Mus musculus: one gene and its partners. The protein of the gene in region 2 purifies or fractionates together with the protein of the main gene of each other region. This does not show direct contact. Links are inferred from orthologs where the notes say so. Each region holds a gene or a part of one and is shown on either strand. Other genes may lie near its edges. The genes, in order: Stk24, Cttnbp2nl and Strn3.

Region 1 (6,179 bases), on a different chromosome or scaffold from region 2:
CTCAGGCCACCCAATTCTGTTGTACCCTGGGCCACTCACTTTCTTGTTTCCCAGAGAGCTTTCCTGATCTCCCTGCCATACCAGATACCTCTCTGAAGTGGGTCCTTGGTGTAGTTCAGCTTTCGTTGTTTTGGACAGGGACTGTACCCCCCTTACCTGACTCGTCTGAACCCTCAGGTGCCACATTTCCTAACAAGCAGGTATGTGTACTGGGGCTTGGTATCTGTGCTGTTTGGAGAGGCATCCTGTCTTCCTAGTCTCCATTTGTTGGGGTACGTGGTGTTTAAACACGATTGGGTGTTTCCATGGCTTCTGATCACATGCCAAATGGCTTGGTGTCCTGGATGTGCCAGCTCTGTGTCCAGGCTTGAAGGTGGGCATCAGAGGCAGACAGAAGACTGCCCAGGTCCCTGCACAAGTCCTGGGGAATGGCAGCTCAGCCAAGATAGAACTAGAGGGGTGTGGGAACGCTAGGCACCTAAGAGTTCACTGCCACACACTTCTCACCTGTGTGGGTTCAAATACTTCATGGTTTGGTTTAGATGGACTCCACTAGAGAGCCCAGTCTGGTCTTGAACTTTCAGTTCCTCTTGCCAACCAACCTTCAGAGCTGGGGTTACAGTGGCCTGCCACTATTCCTGGTTGTATTCAGGATGTTCCAAAGAGGAATCTCAGGTTGCTTTGCAGCCCAGGGCTGTCACTCAGTGTACCGGGGACAGAGTAAGCAGAGACAGTTCCTTGCAGGATTGCTGTGCAGTCAGAGCGCAGCTAACCTCAGGCAGAGACCATGACTGTCCGGCCTTGTAACCTGTAAGGCTGAGCAGGGTGTGTGAAGTCTGGAGATCTGGATGGAGAGCCATTGCCAGGGGCCCCATTGATGCATGGTGGGACATGGCTGTGCCTCAGAGCATGGGAGTAGGTGCCGTAGTTACGAGGACTACAGTGGGAGCACGTGAGTCAGGCCTGCCTCAGTCCTCCTCTTCCTGCTGTGTGGCTTTCTCCCTTTTTCTAGCCACCTTCATGGTGATGACTGAGGTGATGTGGCAGGGATTTCTGGTGCTCACAAGGTTTCAGGAGAATAGCAAGCAAGGGTACTCCAGGTAAAGGCTGGAGATTGTTCTGGTCCCCTGGTCCCCTTCATCGGCCTCTCCTGCCACCTGTGCCGTAAGTGTTGGACTTGTGACAAGTTCATGGTGCAATGACAAGAGCAGGTGCCGTTCTCCACCCCATCCCCATGCCTTCTTTGCCAACCCGTTTTGTCGTGTTTCACACGTGTTGAGCTCCTGACAGCCCTGCTTGTTGTAAAGTTGGCCTGAGACTTGTGTTCCTTTCATACAGTGAGCATTTAAGGAACGTACCGTGCACAGAGGTGACAGTCCGACACAGGGGTTTGGGCAGTTGGAGAGCAGGGCTGTCCCAGTGCCTAGTCTGTCTGAGTCTCAAGTCAGAACCTGCAGGGCCTTAGCTGGGAACACACTGAGAGAGAAACACATCAGATGTCAGGGGTGCTTAGTGAAGGCTTTAGTATTGTGGTAACTGCAGTGACCACAGGCAGCTTGGGGAGCACAGGGCTAATTCACCTTAAAATGTACAGTCCCTCATGAAGTCAGGCCAGGAACCTGGAGATGGGAGCTGTAGCAGAGACCATAGGGGATTCCACTTGCTGGCTGGTTCTTCCTGGCTGGCTTAGTTTGCTTTCTCACATACCAGGGCCACCTGTCCAGGGGTGATGGCCCCTCCCACAGTGGTCTGGGCCTTTCCACATCAATCATTAATCAGGAGAAAAAATGCTTCAAAAAGGCTTGCCTGTAGGTCAGTGTGACGGGGCGTGCTCTCCATTGAGTGAGGTTCTTCCAGCTTATCAAGTCCAACCAGGACAAAGGGAAATGACACGCAGAGTAAGGACTTGAGACCTCATTCTTAAAGGCTCTGGGGAAATTGGCAATAGAGACCGCTATTGATTAAAGGACCTGGGCAGCGTAGCCATCATATGGGGCAAGTGGACTTTGGATCCTAATTCAGATAAAGCAGCTCTGGAAACTTTTATGGTTTTTAAGCAGTTGGAAAGGCTCAGGTATTACTTGATATTAAAGAATTGTAGATACTCCTTGAAAAACTCACTGGAACTTGGACGTACTTTTTTTTCCCCCTTGCTCATTCTGGTAGCAGTGCTGTCTGGAAAATGGGCCATCGGTTGCTGCCTAGCACCACACACGAGAGCTGCTGTGCTCATGGCCTGGGAAAGCTCCAAGTTCAGTAGCTCCATTTCTACTGCTAGTATTGCTAATTTCAGTGTCAGGGTGCAGACAAGCCCTGTTTGGCTGGCATATTGAAGTACTCGGGGGTGAGGGGTGGCAGGTGTCAAGATAGCTTCTGTCTGTCTGTCTGTCTGTCTGTCTGTTTATTCTTTCTTTGAGATAAGATCCTGCTGTATATAGTTCTAGTATTTTGCTGTGTATATGGCTTGAGCTAGCCTCAAACTTGTGGCAGTCCTCCTGCCTCTGTCTCTTGGGTGCTGTGATTACAAGTCACTATACTTAACAAAGTCTATATGAAAGTGATCACAGTGATTACCTTTGTGTGCCATATGTATGGTTATATTAATGTCCATGTCTGTGTGTTTGACCATTTTTATAATAAACATTCTCTACCACTGATAAGAGCATTTGCCTAGGGTGAGCCCCTAGGTTCAGTTCCCAGCACTGCAAATGCCATCAAACAAAGCAATAATGCTTTGAGTTGTGGGCACAGTGGTAATGCAGTCCCTTTATACACCCTTGAAACTACCTCCCTCGTGAAAATCAAGGGGGCAGGGCTAAGGGAAAGCTGCCTGTCTAGTGTCCTAAGACCCTGATTATAGTGCTGCTGTTTGAGACCACTAGGTCTGAGCAGCAGTGTGTAGTACCAGGTGCTGCCCAGGGGTGAAGTTCCTCCTGCTCATGTACTCCTGTTACTGCTGCTGGAAACCTGACACAGGCCTGCTGCCTGCCACAGAGGTGGCCAGTCTGGATCGCTACTGTAGCAATTTTGTATTTGTATGTAGTGTTTGCTACATAAAATCTGTCCACTTGTTTCCTGTGTTAAAATTATGCCACTGGCTTGTGTTTCTTAGTTCAGAATAGTGGTCTTTTTCAGAACCTGAGATTGAAGCGCGCGTGTTTTCCCCTCCCTTGTGCCTGTCTGAATGTGTCTCACGTCTTTAACATGCTTTTGTCCTTGCAGGCAGACATCTGGTCCCTTGGCATCACCGCAATAGAACTGGCCAAAGGAGAGCCACCACATTCTGAGCTGCACCCCATGAAGGTGTTATTCCTCATCCCAAAGAACAACCCTCCCACACTGGAAGGGAACTACAGCAAACCCCTCAAGGAGTTCGTGGAGGCCTGCCTGAACAAGGAGCCCAGCTTTGTGAGTGTGCACCTTTCTGGAGTCTCATCTTGGTCTGCATTTCTTCTGTTAGGGTTGGGCCAGACACTGTTTCCAGCTGTCTCCCTGATCTCTCTCTCTCTAGTCTTGGCAAATGAATTCAATATCTATCTATCTATCTATCTATCTATCTATCTATCTATCTATCTATCTATCTATCTATCTTCCCTCCCTCCCTCCCTCCCTCCCTCCTTCCCTCCCTCCCTCCCTCCCTTCCTTCCTCTTATTTGTTTTGAGACAGGGTTTCTCTCTGAAGCTCTGCCTTTCCTAGAACTCTCTCTGTAGACCAGGCTGGCCTTGAACTCACAGAGATCTGCCTGCCTCTGCTTCCTGAGTTCTGGGCACCACCACTGCCCCGTTTCTTTACGGACGCTCGCTCTTTGTTGCCTTTTGTCATCCTCTTGTCTTTTAGGGATTTCAGATGTAATTATTTTATCTTAGATTTTCTAGCATCTCCTTACTTCATTGAGCCTGAAGAATATTCTACTTAGTATAATAGGTAGGATGGTCAATTTTTAATATTTATAGAGAAAAGTCAGGCTGTACAACTAGGAAGCTACTTCAGTAGTAGCAGCGGGTAGACTCAAAATAAAGGAAGCAAATGGTCAGCTTCCAGTTAGTTGTTGTGTGCTAGGGAACAGACACACGGGGTACACGTGAGTCGCCCACCTCCACTGCCCCGCCTTTTCTCTCTGTGTTTACTTAGAGGTGGCAAAGCCCATGCATGCCCTTAGCTACTCTGAGCTTTCCTCTTTGTTCTCTGAGAATCGGGGCTTTTCTTGGAATAGAAAGGTAGCCTGTGTGTTGTCACATGTAGCACTCCATGCCGTAGCTTTGATTTGGGTTTCTTTGAGCAGATTTAGCTTCATTGAGCCTGAAGAATACTCATGGAGAGGGTCCCCGTTAGCTCTTGTCTGAAAATGGTGAGAAAAGATGAATGACACAGGAGCATCATATGGTTATCAACAGGAGCCCGTTCTGGCAAAGGGATTAAAAGGGGCAGAAAACACTGTCTTGGCTCCACCAGGGGCTGCAGGTTGAGGTTAGCAGGTTGCATTTGGTTATTGGGTCAGGTGGTGGGTGTGGTCTTGCATGCTAAGTCAATGTTTGATTGTTACACCATGGTGCCACACAATGTGGTGGAAGAGAGACCCAAATATGTGCACATCTTTTTTTATTTTTTTTATTTTTATTTTTTTATTTTATTTTATTTTTTTTGGTTTTTCGAGACAGGGTTTCTCTGTATAGCCCTGGCTGTCCTGGAACTCACTTTGTAGACCAGGCTGGCCTCGAACTCAGAAATCCGCCTGCCTCTGCCTCCCAAGTGCTGGGATTAAAGGCGTGCGCCACCACGCCCGGCTTCACATCTTTTTTTAAAGCATGTGCAGTACCGTTTATTCCCACCATGCACCCCTCTACCTTGGCTTACCCCTGGACCTTCACATGTGAAAGCTGCAAAGCTGAGAACACTTGGGATGTTTGGAGCGTCACAGCCAAAAGATGGGGGCGGGAGGACTCTCAGAGATTTCCATTAGAAGAAAATGCTATTCTTGATTCTTTGGAGCAAACATCACTGTGGGTGTGCCTGCCTGGCATCTCTGTGATTTTGCTATCTGTCCCTAGTTGGGCCACTCTGTTTCTTGGGGAACTTTTTGCCAGTAGATGGGGAAGCCGCTTACACTCTTTAATGCCATTTGGTTGGAGCTGTGCCGTGCTGGGTGGGGATTAAGCTGTTGGTCCCTGTCACCATCGTGGTGATGGCTTCACGGACCTACTTTTCTAAGTGGGGAGTGCTGGTGAGTGAGGGAACCGAGGCAGGAGCCAGGAGCCAGTCAGGTCTCTCCTAACTCCTGTCCCAACCTCTTCTGAGATGAGTCGAATCTGTGAACTCAGTTTAGGGTATTCGCCTAACACTATAGGAGATCATAAAGAATGTGTATTTCCCTTAGCCAGCACTCATGCTGAGAAACCAAAGAAAAACAAGATGAGCTCTCTCAGACAGTACTCACCAAGTTCTTTGTGGAGTTCTTTGCAGGAGTTCTTTTTCTTTGGTGAGCTACTCTGGCAGGATGCTTCAGTCTTTGTTGGAAACTCTCTCCCATTTTCCCTGTGCCCATATATGCTTGGGCATGGGTATGAAATGACTTCTCCAGAAAGCCTGAGTTAGGAGCAGGCTCTGAAGCAGAATCCAGGGCTGCCCCGTGGTGCGATGGTCTGGCTTTTTAACCCAGCAGTCTTGTCTGTTTGTGTGGGATAGAGTGGGGTGAAGAGGAAATGTCCTCTCGTGGTGATGACTTCGACATGTGTGCTTTCCAGAGGCCCACTGCTAAGGAATTATTGAAGCACAAATTCATAATCCGCAATGCAAAGAAAACGTCCTACTTGACCGAGCTTATCGACAGGTACAAGAGGTGGAAGGCGGAGCAGAGCCACGAGGACTCCAGCTCGGAGGACTCTGACGTGTAAGTTGCCCTGTCCAGGCTCTCCATGCCTGTAGCAGAGAGTTGGGCCCTGCTTCGTGGGGGTGGGGGTGGGGGTGAGCTTTTTTTGTGTGTGTAGCTGTGGCCAGGGTGGGGGTGGGAGGGCAAAAGAGAGTACAAACTTAGAGTCATGGCCAGAAGGAGGAACCTGCGGAGACACTGAGGCCCCAAAGGGACTAATAGTGAAGTGGCAGGCGGATCCTTAGGAGAGGTGTGGCCACTGTGTGCTGGAGGCAGCAGCAGGAGTGATGGAGCTGGTGGTGGTCTGGGCAG
Region 2 (5,948 bases):
TTCCTGTCTGGGGCCTGGAGAGATGGCTTAGCAGGGATGAGCACTAATTGCTCTTCCAAAGGACCGAGTTTAGTTGCTAACACACTCACATCAGGCAGCTCACAACCACCTGTAACTCTAGCTCCATAGAATTCAGTGCCTCTGGCCTCCATGGGCAACAACGCTCATGTGCGCACATACTCACGCATAAATAAATACAATAAATTCTTGAAAAAACTTTCTCCCCTACTAAAGTCTCTCATCTCTGAGACTCTATAGTATATTTCTTTCTGTAATTTTAAAGGGCTCTCAAACTAGATAATACATTTAACCAGAAGGCATTCTATTACATTTAAAATCTAGATTTTTTTTAGCTCAACAGGAAGTACACTAATACATCTTAATTTTAGTTTTATTTATATTTAATTATTTTTTGAGACTAGATCTCCCTGTATCTGTATAGCTCTGGCTGGCTTCGAACTCATTGTGTAGACAAGGCTAACTTCACGGTCATGGCAATCCTCCTGCCTCTGCCTTCTGTATACTTAGAGGACAGGCATGTGTCACCATGTTTGTTTGTTTTCATTTTAAACTTTAAAGTGGGGTTCCGTGTTATAGAAAATGTTCTTTCTTCATTCCTAAAATTATTAGTAGGCAACATCTTGAGAATTGACCATCAACATAACTGACAGCCCAAGAGGTCTAGGCTGAGCCACTCTGAAACAGAAGCTACTGAACGATACATTCACATGTCAAATGCTGTGTGGTTTGGGCAGAATGCATGAGAAATGTCCATTTCTGCTTTTGTTTTCCTGGAAACTGATTTAGAGCATTCAGCACCAGGATAAGTGGACTAGGATAAATGGGCAAGTTGTTAAATTCTTGTGGAAAATCACAGGTCAGATCCCAGTAACCGAGCCTTCTGCACATAGGATGGAGTAGGAGTCTTTCCCAGATGATCTGGGTGTTAGTTAAGCAAGGCACTGGATGTTCTGTTTGATTTGATCTTTAGTTTCAAGCTGGAGCTTTGGTGCCTCCTGTGATAGCATTGAGAGGAACACCTCAGCCTTGTGTGGTGCCGCCCACCACAACAGGGCTCGCCCCAGCAGGTCCCTAGTCAGAACAAACCGCCTGTGATTTCCCAGAATTCTGCTGGTTCTCAAACCTTCCCAACCCCCACAGCTAATTCGTTTCTCTCTTGTCTCTGTTTGCATTCTTCTGCACATACTTCAACAAAAGTAAACATCTTGTTTTCTAGCACATAGCTCACATGTCTTTCATCCTGCTGCGACAGCGTGCGCCTCGACAGCCCTGGCTGGATTTCATGTGTTTGCTCATTTAATCTGGAACCCTCAAGTCTTGAGTAGTGTAAGTGTTGAGTCGATGTTTGGAAGTTAATGCTTTAAAATCCTTTACAGGTGATCCTCGACCTTGAAGAAGAAAGACAGAGGCATGCACAGGACACTGCTGAAGGAGATGATGTCACCTACATGCTGGAGAAGGAGAGGGAGAGACTGACGCAGCAGGTAACTCGGGAAGGAGGAGCAGGATGACCTTGTCTAGAGAGTTGCTGCTTAGGCTTACGGCAGTGTGCAGAATTACGTTAGAAGTCCTTATTGAGAAGATAGAATGGCCATGTTTATCACGGCTATTCCCAAAATGTCTGTTTTTTCAAACAAACAAACAAACAAACAAACAAAAAACATAGGTAACTTGGGATTGGGGAGATAGTCCAGGGGGCAAGCACTGCTCTTGCAGAGGGCCCACGTTTGGTTCCTCACATCCACATCAGGTGTCTCACACCTTCCTGGAACTCCAGCTCAGAGGATCTGACACCCTCCTCCTGTCTACAGTAAGACCTGTACTCATGCACAGAGTCCTCACCCACACACAAGTATACATAACTTTAAAAATAAAACAAACAAAGATCACTCAGTGGAACTGTCATTCATAGCACATCCTTTAGAGATCTCTGAGTTTCAGGCTTTTTTGTTGTCCCACGACCTACAGTAACAGCATGGCCTATCCCAAGCCAGTACGCCTGAAGTAGAGTGTTGAGGTGTGGTCTTGCTTGTCCTTTAATGCTAATATTGGGCCCCCAAGATCTGGTTGTCCCAGAGATGACACAGTCTACATGTAGACCCAAGTGACACTGTGTGATCTTGCCCCGAGTTATTTTTGATTGGTGAATAAAAATGCCAATAGCCAATAGCTAGGCAGGATTTGGGGTGAGAGGAGAAACACAAGAAAGAGAAGGTGAAAAGTATGGAGGAGGAGCCACCATGGGTTAGGTGAGCCGTGAAAATATGGCCCTGAGGGCTGGCCAATTAGAGTTTAAGAGCAGCCCAGATGAAACATGGTAAGTAATAAGTTGGAGTTATCAATAGGAAAGTAGATTCTAATAGCATAGAAAGTAGATATCTGCCTAGGTTTTGTCCTGGTTAAGCCTTATTGTAAATATAAAGGCTGTGTGTGTCTTTTATCCGGAAACTAAATGATAAAGGCAAGGTAGAAACCTCAGTTTGGGATTAAATAATTTCCACATCACAGAGATCACAGGACATAAACCATCTGTTTATTCTTGTACTATACAGTGGTGGTGTGCTCACATTGTAGATCAGGGCAGCCTTGACTCACACTCATGAATTCTTTTTGTTTTTAAGTATGATCATGGTTTACTGAACTGGCTTCCCCATCTATCAATGTATCTCGAATTGGAAATTCCTGATTAGAAGGTTCATCCACCCGTTCCCTCTCAGAGTCTGTATAATAATGTTAGACAATAAAACAGACTACATTTGTGTAGATCCAAGGATGGTGGTTCATGCCTCTCGTCCTACCAGTTGGAAGGAGGATTTCAAATTCAAAGCGAGTCTCAGAGTAAGACTTTGTCTAATGAAAACAACAAAAGCAGGGTCTCAGTGCAGCTATTTATGTTCGTTACTCTTTGTAAAGATCAGACAGAATGATTGCTGCATCTTCAAGTTTGATTTTCAACAGCATCCATGCCCAGATGCATCTTACATTGTATTCTGTTATTTGTTTTGGCTGATTCTATGGCCTCTCCGCATACCTAAAACACAACGGTGCATCATATCCCTGCTGTTCACCCTGAGGCAGTTAGGAACTCAAATGCCTCCCAAGTCATCAAGAAAGATTAAATCATAGTGTGTGGGGTGTTCTCATACTTCAAAAATACTAATTAACCTAAGCACCGTGCTGTACAAACTAATACCGCGCACCAGAGAGCAGCCAGTGAGGACACCCTGAGTGATCGTAATTGTTAGTACATCCTTCTGTTTTCCTTCTCTAATCAAGAGGTGTGGTGGCATTTTTCTTTTCTAGTTGGAATTTGAAAAGTCCCAAGTGAAAAAGTTTGAAAAAGAACAAAAGAAGCTGTCCAGTCAGTTGGAGGAGGAGCGCACCCGCCACAAGCAGCTCTCTTCCATGCTGGTGCTCGAGTGCAGGAAGGCCACTAGCAAGGCAGCCGAGGAAGGGCAGAAGGCCGGAGAGCTGAGCCTGAAACTGGACAAGGAGAAGAGCCGGGCGAGCAAGCTAGAGGAAGAGTTGGCAGCCGAGAGGAAGCGGGGCCTGCAGACGGAGGCCCAGGTGGAGAAGCAGCTGTCTGAGTTCGATATCGAAAGGGAGCAGCTGAGAGCCAAACTGAACCGAGAGGAGAACCGGACCCGTGCCCTGAAGGAGGAGGTGGAGAGCCTGAAGAAGCTTGTGAAAGACCTAGAGGCTGCCCAGCAGCACCGCAGCACCAGTGAGCAGGGCAGGGAGCCAGTGACCATGTCCAGAGGCACAGCCACGGAGCCTCCCATGCGAGTGTCTGCGTTTTGTCAAACAGAGAGTGTTCAGACAGAAAGAAGCCACGGGAGTGTCATAACCAAGCTGACAGACACTGGTCTTCCAGGTCCCACCACGGCTGCTTACTCATATGCTAAAGCTAATGGCCACTGTGACCCAGAGATACAGACTACCAGGGAGTTGACCTCAGACAGCAGCACAGAAAACCAAGGGCCTCCACGGGAGAAATCTGCAGTAGCGGCTCAGGAGAAACCAGTGGAGAATGGTGGGTGTCCTGTAGGAACTGAGACTCCAGTCACGATGCCTAGTCACCTCCCTTCCAGTGGCAGCTCCCTGTCTCCCAGCAGCACAGCCTCTTCCTCTCTGACATCATCTCCTTGCTCCTCCCCAGTTCTAACCAAGCGTCTCTTGGGGTCAGCAGCCAGCAGCCCGGGCTACCAGTCTTCCTACCAAGTCGGGATCAACCAGCGCTTCCATGCCGCTCGGCACAAATTTCAGTCCCAGGCGGATCAGGATCAGCAAGCCAGCGGTCTCCAGAGCCCTCCATCCAGGGACCTGTCCCCTACCCTGTTAGACAACTCTGCTGCCAAGCAGCTGGCCCGAAACACAGTCACTCAGGTGCTCTCCAGATTCACTAACCAAGGGCCAATTAAGCCCGTCTCTCCCAACAGTTCTCCCTTTGGGACAGACTACCGAAATCTGGCCAGCACTGCCAGCCCAAGAGGTGACACCAGCCATTCACCCACTCCAGGGAAAGTGTCCAGCCCTCTGAGCCCCCTCTCTCCAGGAATCAAGTCCCCAACCATCCCCAGAGCTGAGAGAGGAAACCCTCCACCAATCCCGCCCAAAAAGCCTGGCCTCACCCCTTCGCAGTCTGCCACCACTCCAGTAACCAAGACTCATTCCCAGGCATCCTCCCTGGCCGCCACAGAAGACCTCGCCAGCAGCTGCTCCCCCAGTGCCGTGGTGGCCAATGGCAAAGATGTTGAGATACTTTTGCCTACCAGCAGCTAGTCCCTAGGGCTGAGTCTCCACATTTGACATTCCATCAGACTCGGGCCAAGAGCTCAGCGTTAAACCCTGGAGTCAAATCATGTTATTTATTTGATAGTAGCTACAGCCATCTGTATAATACATTCAGTGTATTTACCTTTTTGTATTTTTTTAAGTAGAAATTGAATACTTTGGATTTTTATGACTCACCTCTTTGTACTAAGCTAGAAGGGGACCTCATAGACATAGCGCATCTCAAGCTCTGCACTTGCCAGCGTGCTGCGACGAGGCGGCTGACTGGGGACCAGGCGGTGCTGCTGCCAGTCGGGGAGCTAGAATTCATTACTCAGCACTCATTTCAAATTATGCAGAAGCGGTTCGTGCAGATTTTTATTCCAGATGAACATGTTTTAAAAGTGCCTGAAATCGCCTGCCACGGGAATGTGATTCTGCGGCAGAAACAAAAGACAGAGCATTTCTTGCAGCAAATGAGATCCTCTGTGAATCTGAATGTCAAAAAACCAACACTGCTTTTAATCCTCTCTGACTGTTTAATGCCAGCTTTGTGTTCTGAACCGAGGTTTGCATAAGTAGAGTGGAAATCCTTCTGAAGGGCGGGAACTCTGTCAGGCTGAGCTCTGTAAAGCCCTCAAGAAACCCTCCAGAACACTTAGCAGTTGGGGTGCTGATTTTCTTGTGCTTTTGAAAACTTAAGTCATTCTCCGTTTCCTGCATCACTTCTTGAGTAGTGAAGTCACGTCTCCATTCAAATCCACCCTCAAGCATCGGCCATGGGAACTTCTGATTCTGGTTGCTTTTACTTGAATAGGAAATGACATAATGAACTCTTTATTCTGTGATCAAAAAGCAATAACTTAAAAGTCAGTCTTTGTAATACTGTAAGTCAGAATTATACAGATTTTACCAAATTGTTACATTCACTCTCCATGCTGCCAGCACTTCTATCTATGGAACCAAATGGGCGTATATCTGTATCTGTATAGTACACACCCCTTTTACATGTTCAGCATTCTCACACTCAAGCACATAAGTATTAGTGCAATTGTATCTCTGGAGCTTGCAGTGTAGCATAAAGGACAAAGTAGAATCAATCGCATGTTAAGATTACCTACCAAAGCAATTAGATGTGACTTGGAGCCAGTCAG
Region 3 (6,921 bases), on a different chromosome or scaffold from region 2:
TCTTCAGTGGGAAGATGACAGGTCACCAAGACAAAGTGCTTAGATAATCACAAGTAGCTACTTGGTTCTCAAAGGCAGAGTGGAGTACAAGCTTTTCATAGTCACATTTGAAATAACTGATAAGAAGGTATCTGAGTATTGTCTATTCCCAACTTACTTAAAAGCCTGGAATTCTTTGGTATACTTTGGCTTTCATAATTCATGTAAATTAAATACGACAAGTCCAGCTGAGTAAGCATATTGGTTCAAATATTACTTGTAAGGATAGAAAACAAAGTAGTGCCCTAAAAACTAAGCTGATCAAAAATATAGGCATTGTTTTTTTAACCAAATCAAACCAAACAACAACAAAACAAGGTCTCACTGTGTACTTTAGTCTAGCCTAGAATTCTTCACATGACTCAGGGTTCAGACTCTCAGCAATAATTCTGGCTCAGCCTCCCCAGTGCAGAAAGTACCGAGCAGCCATACATAGACTTTCATGAAGATCATCATGAACTGAGCAAGCTGAAGTCCATTTGCAATCCCAGCACTTGGGTGGCAGAAACAGGAGAATCTCACACTCAAGGGCAGCACACCATTTTACCCTCCACCTACCCCAAATCATTCTGAAAGAAGGAGAATCTAGGCAGGAGCAGGGAGGAGTGACAGGTGAGAGGACAGGATAAATAGGAAGTTTCAAAGGGGACTGAAGAGAGGAAATGACTCAGCAAGGGGTCAGAGAGAGAATTCCAGTTAGGCAAGCTGAACTGTTAGAGTGTAACTGGGAGAATTTGTTATCTAAAAGTTCTAGAGACTCATTCCAGTGTTCTCAGGAGCAGTGGGCAGGAAGCACAATGTTAACAGTGTAAAACATCATCTCAGCAGAGCAGAAAACTTTGCTATTTGTTTCTGTTTCTTTGTTGAGACAGGGTTTCCTTGTGTAACAGTCCTGGCTATTCTGGAACTGGCTTTGTAGACCAGGCTGGCCTCAAACTCAAAGATCTGCCTGTCTCCACTTAAGACAGACAATAGAAGAACAACAGTTATCTTTTTGCAGGGTAGGTGGGGGGCAACCTTCCTGTGAGCTGAAGTGTGAAATGAGAAATATAAATGTGCAACTTGCTCTTTTGACATAATCACCAGCCATGTGGGCTTCAGATCCCTAAAAGCTTCCTTGTGTTCATAAAATAGGTACCCAGGATGTAAGTTTTTCTGAGCTTTTTATGTGTTCTTTCTTAAGGAATGGGACTGCTTGAGCCAGCTGTATGCTGATTGTCAATAACTCTTAGATAACAGTACTATTTCTTCATATAAAAAAAAAGATGTATTTACTTATGTGAGTACACTGTTGCTCTCTCAGACACACCAGAAGAGAGCACTGTATCCCATTTCAGATGGCTGTGAGTCACTGTGGTCGCTGGGAACTGAACTCAGGACGCCTAGGAGAGCAGTCAGTGCTCTTAACTGCTGAGCCATCTCTCCAGCCTCATTTCTTCATTTACTAAAGACTACATTTCATAAATATGGTAATAAGTGTAACAGATCGAATTAGTTCTTTATAACACAGCAGACATGACAAAATAAAATGTATTTCTTTTTCTCTCTGAAGTTATATGAAGTCACTTATATGCTCCAATGTGAAAATTTGAATAGGCTTTCAGAGTGAAAATAAAAGTTTAAAAACATAACCAATTTTATATACTATTTCTTGTATAGCTGTAAGTACTGTGTATTTTTCTTTTCATTTGCTGTTACATAGGTTATTAGGTTTTTTGTTTTTTTTTTCCTTCTTCTTCTTTCCTTTTTTGGCTTTTCCAGACAGGGTTTCTCTGTTGTCCTGGCTGTCTGGGAACTCTGCAGACCAAGCTGGTCTGAAACGAAACCCAGAGATCAGGTTGTCTACCTCTGCCTCCCGAGTGCTGGGATTAAAGACATGGTTCACCAAGCCCGGTAGCCAGGCTGTTACCTCAACTTACAGAAAGCCGGGCGTGGTGGCACGCCTCTCATCCCAGCACTCGGGTGGCAGAGGCAGGCGGATTTCTGAGTTCGAGGCCAGCCTGGTCTACAAAGTGAGTTCCAGTTCAGCCAGGGCTATACAGAGAAACCCTGTCTCGAAAAAACCAAAAAAAGAACTTACAGAAAAATGCACACTATAGCACCTAAAAACTGACCCTTTGTGTATGTAGTATTTCATTCTAAAACCATTTAATGATGAAGAAAGATATCGTTGTGTTGATTTAGTTCATCTTAAGTTCTATTTACAATACTTTCATTTTGTTTCGATCAAAATTTCTGCCACTAATGACAATATCTGCGTTCATTGACTTCTAAACATCAGTCTCTTTGAAAGTTATCGTTTGCCATCCAACCCACTATTCTCAAGAATTCAAGATATCACAACTTCTTCAGGAAAAAAAAAAAAAAAAAAAAAAAAAAAAAAAAAAAAGCAATAGCTCAAACACAGAGAATCTCAGAATAATAAAGACTTAAGAAGTTACAACGGGCGGCCAGGAGCACCGAAGTGGGACCAAAGAAGCAGGTTGCGACGAAGCCCAGGAGCCAGTGAGAAAGTCCGGAAGAATCTGGGCTATTTGCCAAACGTAGACGTCTCCAGAATCCTGCAGACTGACTGGTGCCACGAAACCAGAGGTCAAGTGAGTGACAGGCAGAAAAGAGGCCCGACCCTCTGGGACTGAGCAAAACACGCCAGGAATTCTAGAGAAACGTCAGGAATTCCAGGGCAGTACGGAGGACGCCTTGCACGCAGCTCCAGAGCCCAGGCCCTCAGCTGAGACCCACGCTGCCCCTAAGGATACGTGCGTGAGGAAAACGACCCGGAAGCCCGACGCCCACGCGCTTCCCCAAAGTCAAGGCAGCATCCAGATTCCACAGGCGTAGAAAAGCTGGGGCCCGGCGCCCGAGTTGGGGCGGGGCCCAGGCCTTTCCCCGCCTCCCGAAGAGCGGTCCATCCTCAGTGCGCCTGCGTGGGGTGAGGCCGGACTCTTTTTGGCTCTCCGGAGTGCGGCTTGCAGCGGCGTTCTCTACCCAGCGTGCCGTGCGCGAGCGGCGGCCCTCCGTCCCTCCTCCTCCTCCTCCGTCCCTCCTCCTCCTCCCGCCGCGGCCCCCCTCTCCCCCAAAGTGAGTGAGTGAGACGGGCAGATGGAGGAGGTACCGTAATGGCGGCGGCCGGCAGCTCCCTGCTCTGATCCGCGGCAAGCACACGGCAACGACCCCCTCCCCGGCCGTCTCCCGGCCGGCCCCCCGCCCTGCGGTCGGCGCGGGGCCACCGTCCCGGCCCTCCCCGCAGCTGTCGGCGTCTGGCACTGCGCCCCGGCCGGGGCCCCACACACAATGGACGAGCTGGCCGGAGGCGGCGGCGGCGGCCAGGGGATGGCAGCCCCTCCCCGGCCGCAGCAGGGACCCGGGGGGAACCTGAGCCTGCCGCCGGGAGCGAACGGAGCGCCGGGCGGCGGGGGTCCTCCGGCCGCCGAGGCGGCGGGGCCCCCGGCAGGCCCGGAGCTGTCCCGGCCGCAACAGTACACGATCCCGGGGATCCTACACTACATCCAGCACGAGTGGGCTCGCTTCGAGATGGAGCGGGCGCACTGGGAGGTGGAGCGGGCCGAGCTGCAGGTACGTCACCCGTCACCCCTCTCGACTGCGAGCTGGGGCCGGGGCCACGGGCCGCGGGGGTGGGGCCGGGGCTGAGGCCCGTGCCCTCAAGGGCGGAGGGGACCTACCTGAGCCGCTCCGGCCGGCGAGCGGTGACGGCGCGCCCGGCTCCCTCCTCACGGGCGGCGCGCTGCGGGCATCCTTGGGGCAGCCATTTTGGCTTTTAGCATGGCGTCCGCAGGGCTCCTCCGGAGCCACCTCTCCTGGGCCTCCGGGGTTTGGGCCCAGCGCCTCTGGGCGAGAGTCTGGCGTGGGCCCGCTAGGCACTGAGTTTGCGCTTGTGGGTCCCCTTGAGGGTGAGGCCACGCGGAGAGGGCCTGGGATGAGCGTCTTTGCCTCCTGGCTCCTGCACCCCCTTCCGATGTGGCGTCCTGCCCCCTCCCCCGCGCCTCGGTACGCACTTGCCCCTTGACAGCCACGCCGCTTCGGGCTACCGCCGCGCACAATGGCTCGCGGCCGGCCGGACAAGTTTGCCTTCCCATCCTCAACTCCTTTAAGTACCTGCGATGCCGCTCTACTCACTTGGATTTCCTTTAGCGCTTACTGATTCATCAACACTTTAACTGAATATTTCTCTCTTGAGTCGGCTTCTCTAGAGTTCCCTACTATATTCATGTTTTTACTGATGCAAAGCAAAGCTGGGCTGTCAGTACAGTATTTAGGAAATGTCTGCGGAAAGAATTGGTCTTAATTTGAAGTAGACCGTACTTATCGCTTAGTACAAGCTAAAACGGAGTTAAATGTCCACTTAATGTGATCCTCTGACAGACTTGGGTTATCCTAACTTTTGGAAGGTGACAGTTGCGGGTTCATGCCTTGAATTTTTAAAATTGCTGCATCTGTTTGAAAGGATTATTCAAGCTGGAGGATGACTGCGTTTAGTTTTAAGTTCCTTTCCAGGGTTTAATTTAAGCTTAGAAGAAAAAAAGCGTGTATCTAATTAAGCGTTGCACCTGTTTTTCAGACTTATAAATTTCGACATAAGCAATATTGTTCGTTATTATACACACACACACACAATAACTTTGGTGAGAAATAATGTTGAAACAACAGCGTGATTAATGAATGTAGAAAAGGTATCCTCAAATAAATATGAGTCTTCAGTTTGGTGTCGAATAGTAAACTTTTTAATTACATTGATTAATTTATTTCTGACCTGATTATTTACAAACTATAAACAATTTTATTCAAAAATTAAAAATACCCAGGTGTAGAGGCATAAGTCTTTAATCTCAGTGCTCAGGAGGGAGATGTTTAATATCCATGAGTTCAGGCCAGGCTGATTTATATAGAGTTCCAGGACAATTGCAGTTACATAAGAGTCTATCTTAAACAAACAAAAAAGTAAAAGAAAATTAGAAATAAGGTTGTTTCATTGTCAAAAGCATTGCAAAGCAATTGATTGGACCAGTAAACTTTTTTGGTTATGGGCTTTTGTTATTGTTTTGTGTTTTTGAAACTGGCTTTTTTCTCTGTGTACCTCTGGCTGTCCTGGAAGTAATTCTGTAGATCGGGCTGGCCTGCAACTCAGAGATCCATCTGCCTCTGCTGGGATCAAAGGTGTGTGCCCTCACCATCTAGTATTGTGGTTGCTTTTGAGACGGTCTCTGTTGTCTTGGGTGATCTGAAAACTCACTATGTAGAACAGGTTGGTTTAGACCTCTTAGAGGTCCACATGCTACCTCTTGAAGTGCTGGAATTATAAAGTCTTGTACCACCTCACCTGGCAAGCCAGTAAACTTTTATTTAACTCCACAAAGTGGGTGAAGTTAAATTTTACAACAACAAAATCCTACTTATTTTATATGACACCTTTAGTTCATTCCGTAATCTTAAAATTGTGCTTAAAAAATACATTTGTGTTTTAGAGATTACTACTTTCAAAAAAACTTATGTCAAAATTGCTGTGGTTTCTTTTAAATTTCTAGAGTCTACTATTGTTGGATTTAGAGTTTTGTGGGCATACATCTTTCTAGTATGTTGATGCCGACTTTTCCATGTGGATAGAGAGAAGGTAATCTGTTAAAAATTACATTGAGGCTTTTGCTGAATTGATAAACCACCAGGTCCATATATAGTATTTGATCCTTGTACTGTTGTTTTGATTTTCAAATTAGCACTTGAATTTGTCACTCAGGCATGATTAATGTAACTAGCTAAGAAAGCATCTTGTATCCAAATTAAGTTTTTTGTTGTTGTTGTTGTTACGTCTTTTTTTTTGTTTTTGTTTTGTTTTTTTTTTGTTTTTTTGAGACAGGGTTTCTCTGTGTAGCCCTGGCTGTCCTGGAACTCACTTTGTAGACCAGGCTGGCCTTGAACTCAGAAATCCACCTGCCTCTGCCTCCCAAGTGCTGGGATTAAAGACATGCGCCACCACGCCTGGCAACAAGTTTTACATTACTGAAATACATGGTTTTCTTTTTCATTGTTCCTGATCTTACTTAACAGCAACAGAAAAGGATTTTTAAGGATTCTGTAGCTTGGTTTCTTTCAGATTGATAGTCTTTATTTACTTGCTTTTCCCCTCCTTTTAAACCTTTTTATTATGTTTCATTATGTGTGTATATGTGCATGTGCACATGAGGTCAGGTCCTCAAAGGCCAGATGGTGGGTTCCTCTGGAGCTGGAGTTGCAGGTGTTGTGAGCCTCCCTGCTGTGGGGGCTGGGACTGGGACTAAGGTACCCTGGAAGATGTGCCATTTCTCCAGCTTGTTTACTCTGTTTAAAGAATGTTATATGATGTTCTCTGGTTCTATTTTATCCAGAGACATTCGCATTATTTTATACTGATACTTTTGGAATAAAATGTTCACGACTGGATTGTTTATATGTTCTTGTATGTGCTGTATATTTTAAAAATTGCCTTATTGGATTAATTGATAGTGTTTCAGATTTGTTTCTAGGATATTGAGTGTGCTTTAAGTGCTGTCACTCATTGTGTGTGGGTGGGGGCCAGGACTGTTTAGAAAAGCTGCCTGAACCTTGGTAGGTGGCTCACAGTGGCCTTGAATGCTATTAGTCTAAATAAAACTGCTTGTGAGTACATACTTCAAAGTTTTGTGTTGAATGTATGTGTAAAAAATTCATGTGTTGTATTTAAGCTGTAAGTTTAAAATTATTTCTGTTACTTTCCTAAAAACAAGACTACTACTACTTTAAAAAAAAAAGATTTATTTACTTTATGTATGAGTACAATTATAGCTGTCTTCAGACACACCAGAAGAGGGTGTCAGATCCCATTACAGATGGTTGTGAGCCACCATGTGT

What was found.
Region 1: the proteins of Cttnbp2nl (region 2) and Stk24 purify together in Homo sapiens (affinity purification with mass spectrometry; 3 studies listed by BioGRID and IntAct, with this or other methods). This does not show direct contact. The link is inferred for Mus musculus from reciprocal best matches to the Homo sapiens genes CTTNBP2NL and STK24.
Region 3: the proteins of Cttnbp2nl (region 2) and Strn3 purify together in Homo sapiens (affinity purification with mass spectrometry; 4 studies listed by BioGRID and IntAct, with this or other methods). This does not show direct contact. The link is inferred for Mus musculus from reciprocal best matches to the Homo sapiens genes CTTNBP2NL and STRN3.

What each region holds. Positions count from the first base shown.
Region 1 is NC_000080.6:121,294,364-121,300,542, reverse strand, and holds part of Stk24 (serine/threonine-protein kinase 24), read left to right. Parts: intron 1-3,222; coding exon 3,223-3,408; intron 3,409-5,742; coding exon 5,743-5,888; intron 5,889-6,179. UniProt on the Homo sapiens protein: Serine/threonine-protein kinase that acts on both serine and threonine residues and promotes apoptosis in response to stress stimuli and caspase activation.
Region 2 is NC_000069.6:105,003,505-105,009,452, reverse strand, and holds part of Cttnbp2nl (CTTNBP2 N-terminal-like protein), read left to right. Parts: intron 1-1,249; exon of another isoform or gene 1,250-1,397; coding exon 1,398-1,505; intron 1,506-3,324; coding exon 3,325-4,803; 3' UTR 4,804-5,948. UniProt on the Homo sapiens protein: Regulates lamellipodial actin dynamics in a CTTN-dependent manner. Associates with core striatin-interacting phosphatase and kinase (STRIPAK) complex to form CTTNBP2NL-STRIPAK complexes.
Region 3 is NC_000078.6:51,688,116-51,695,036, reverse strand, and holds the start of Strn3 (striatin-3), read left to right. Parts: upstream 1-3,122; 5' UTR 3,123-3,333; coding exon 3,334-3,615; intron 3,616-3,722; exon of another isoform or gene 3,723-6,921. UniProt on the Homo sapiens protein: Calmodulin-binding scaffolding protein which is the center of the striatin-interacting phosphatase and kinase (STRIPAK) complexes.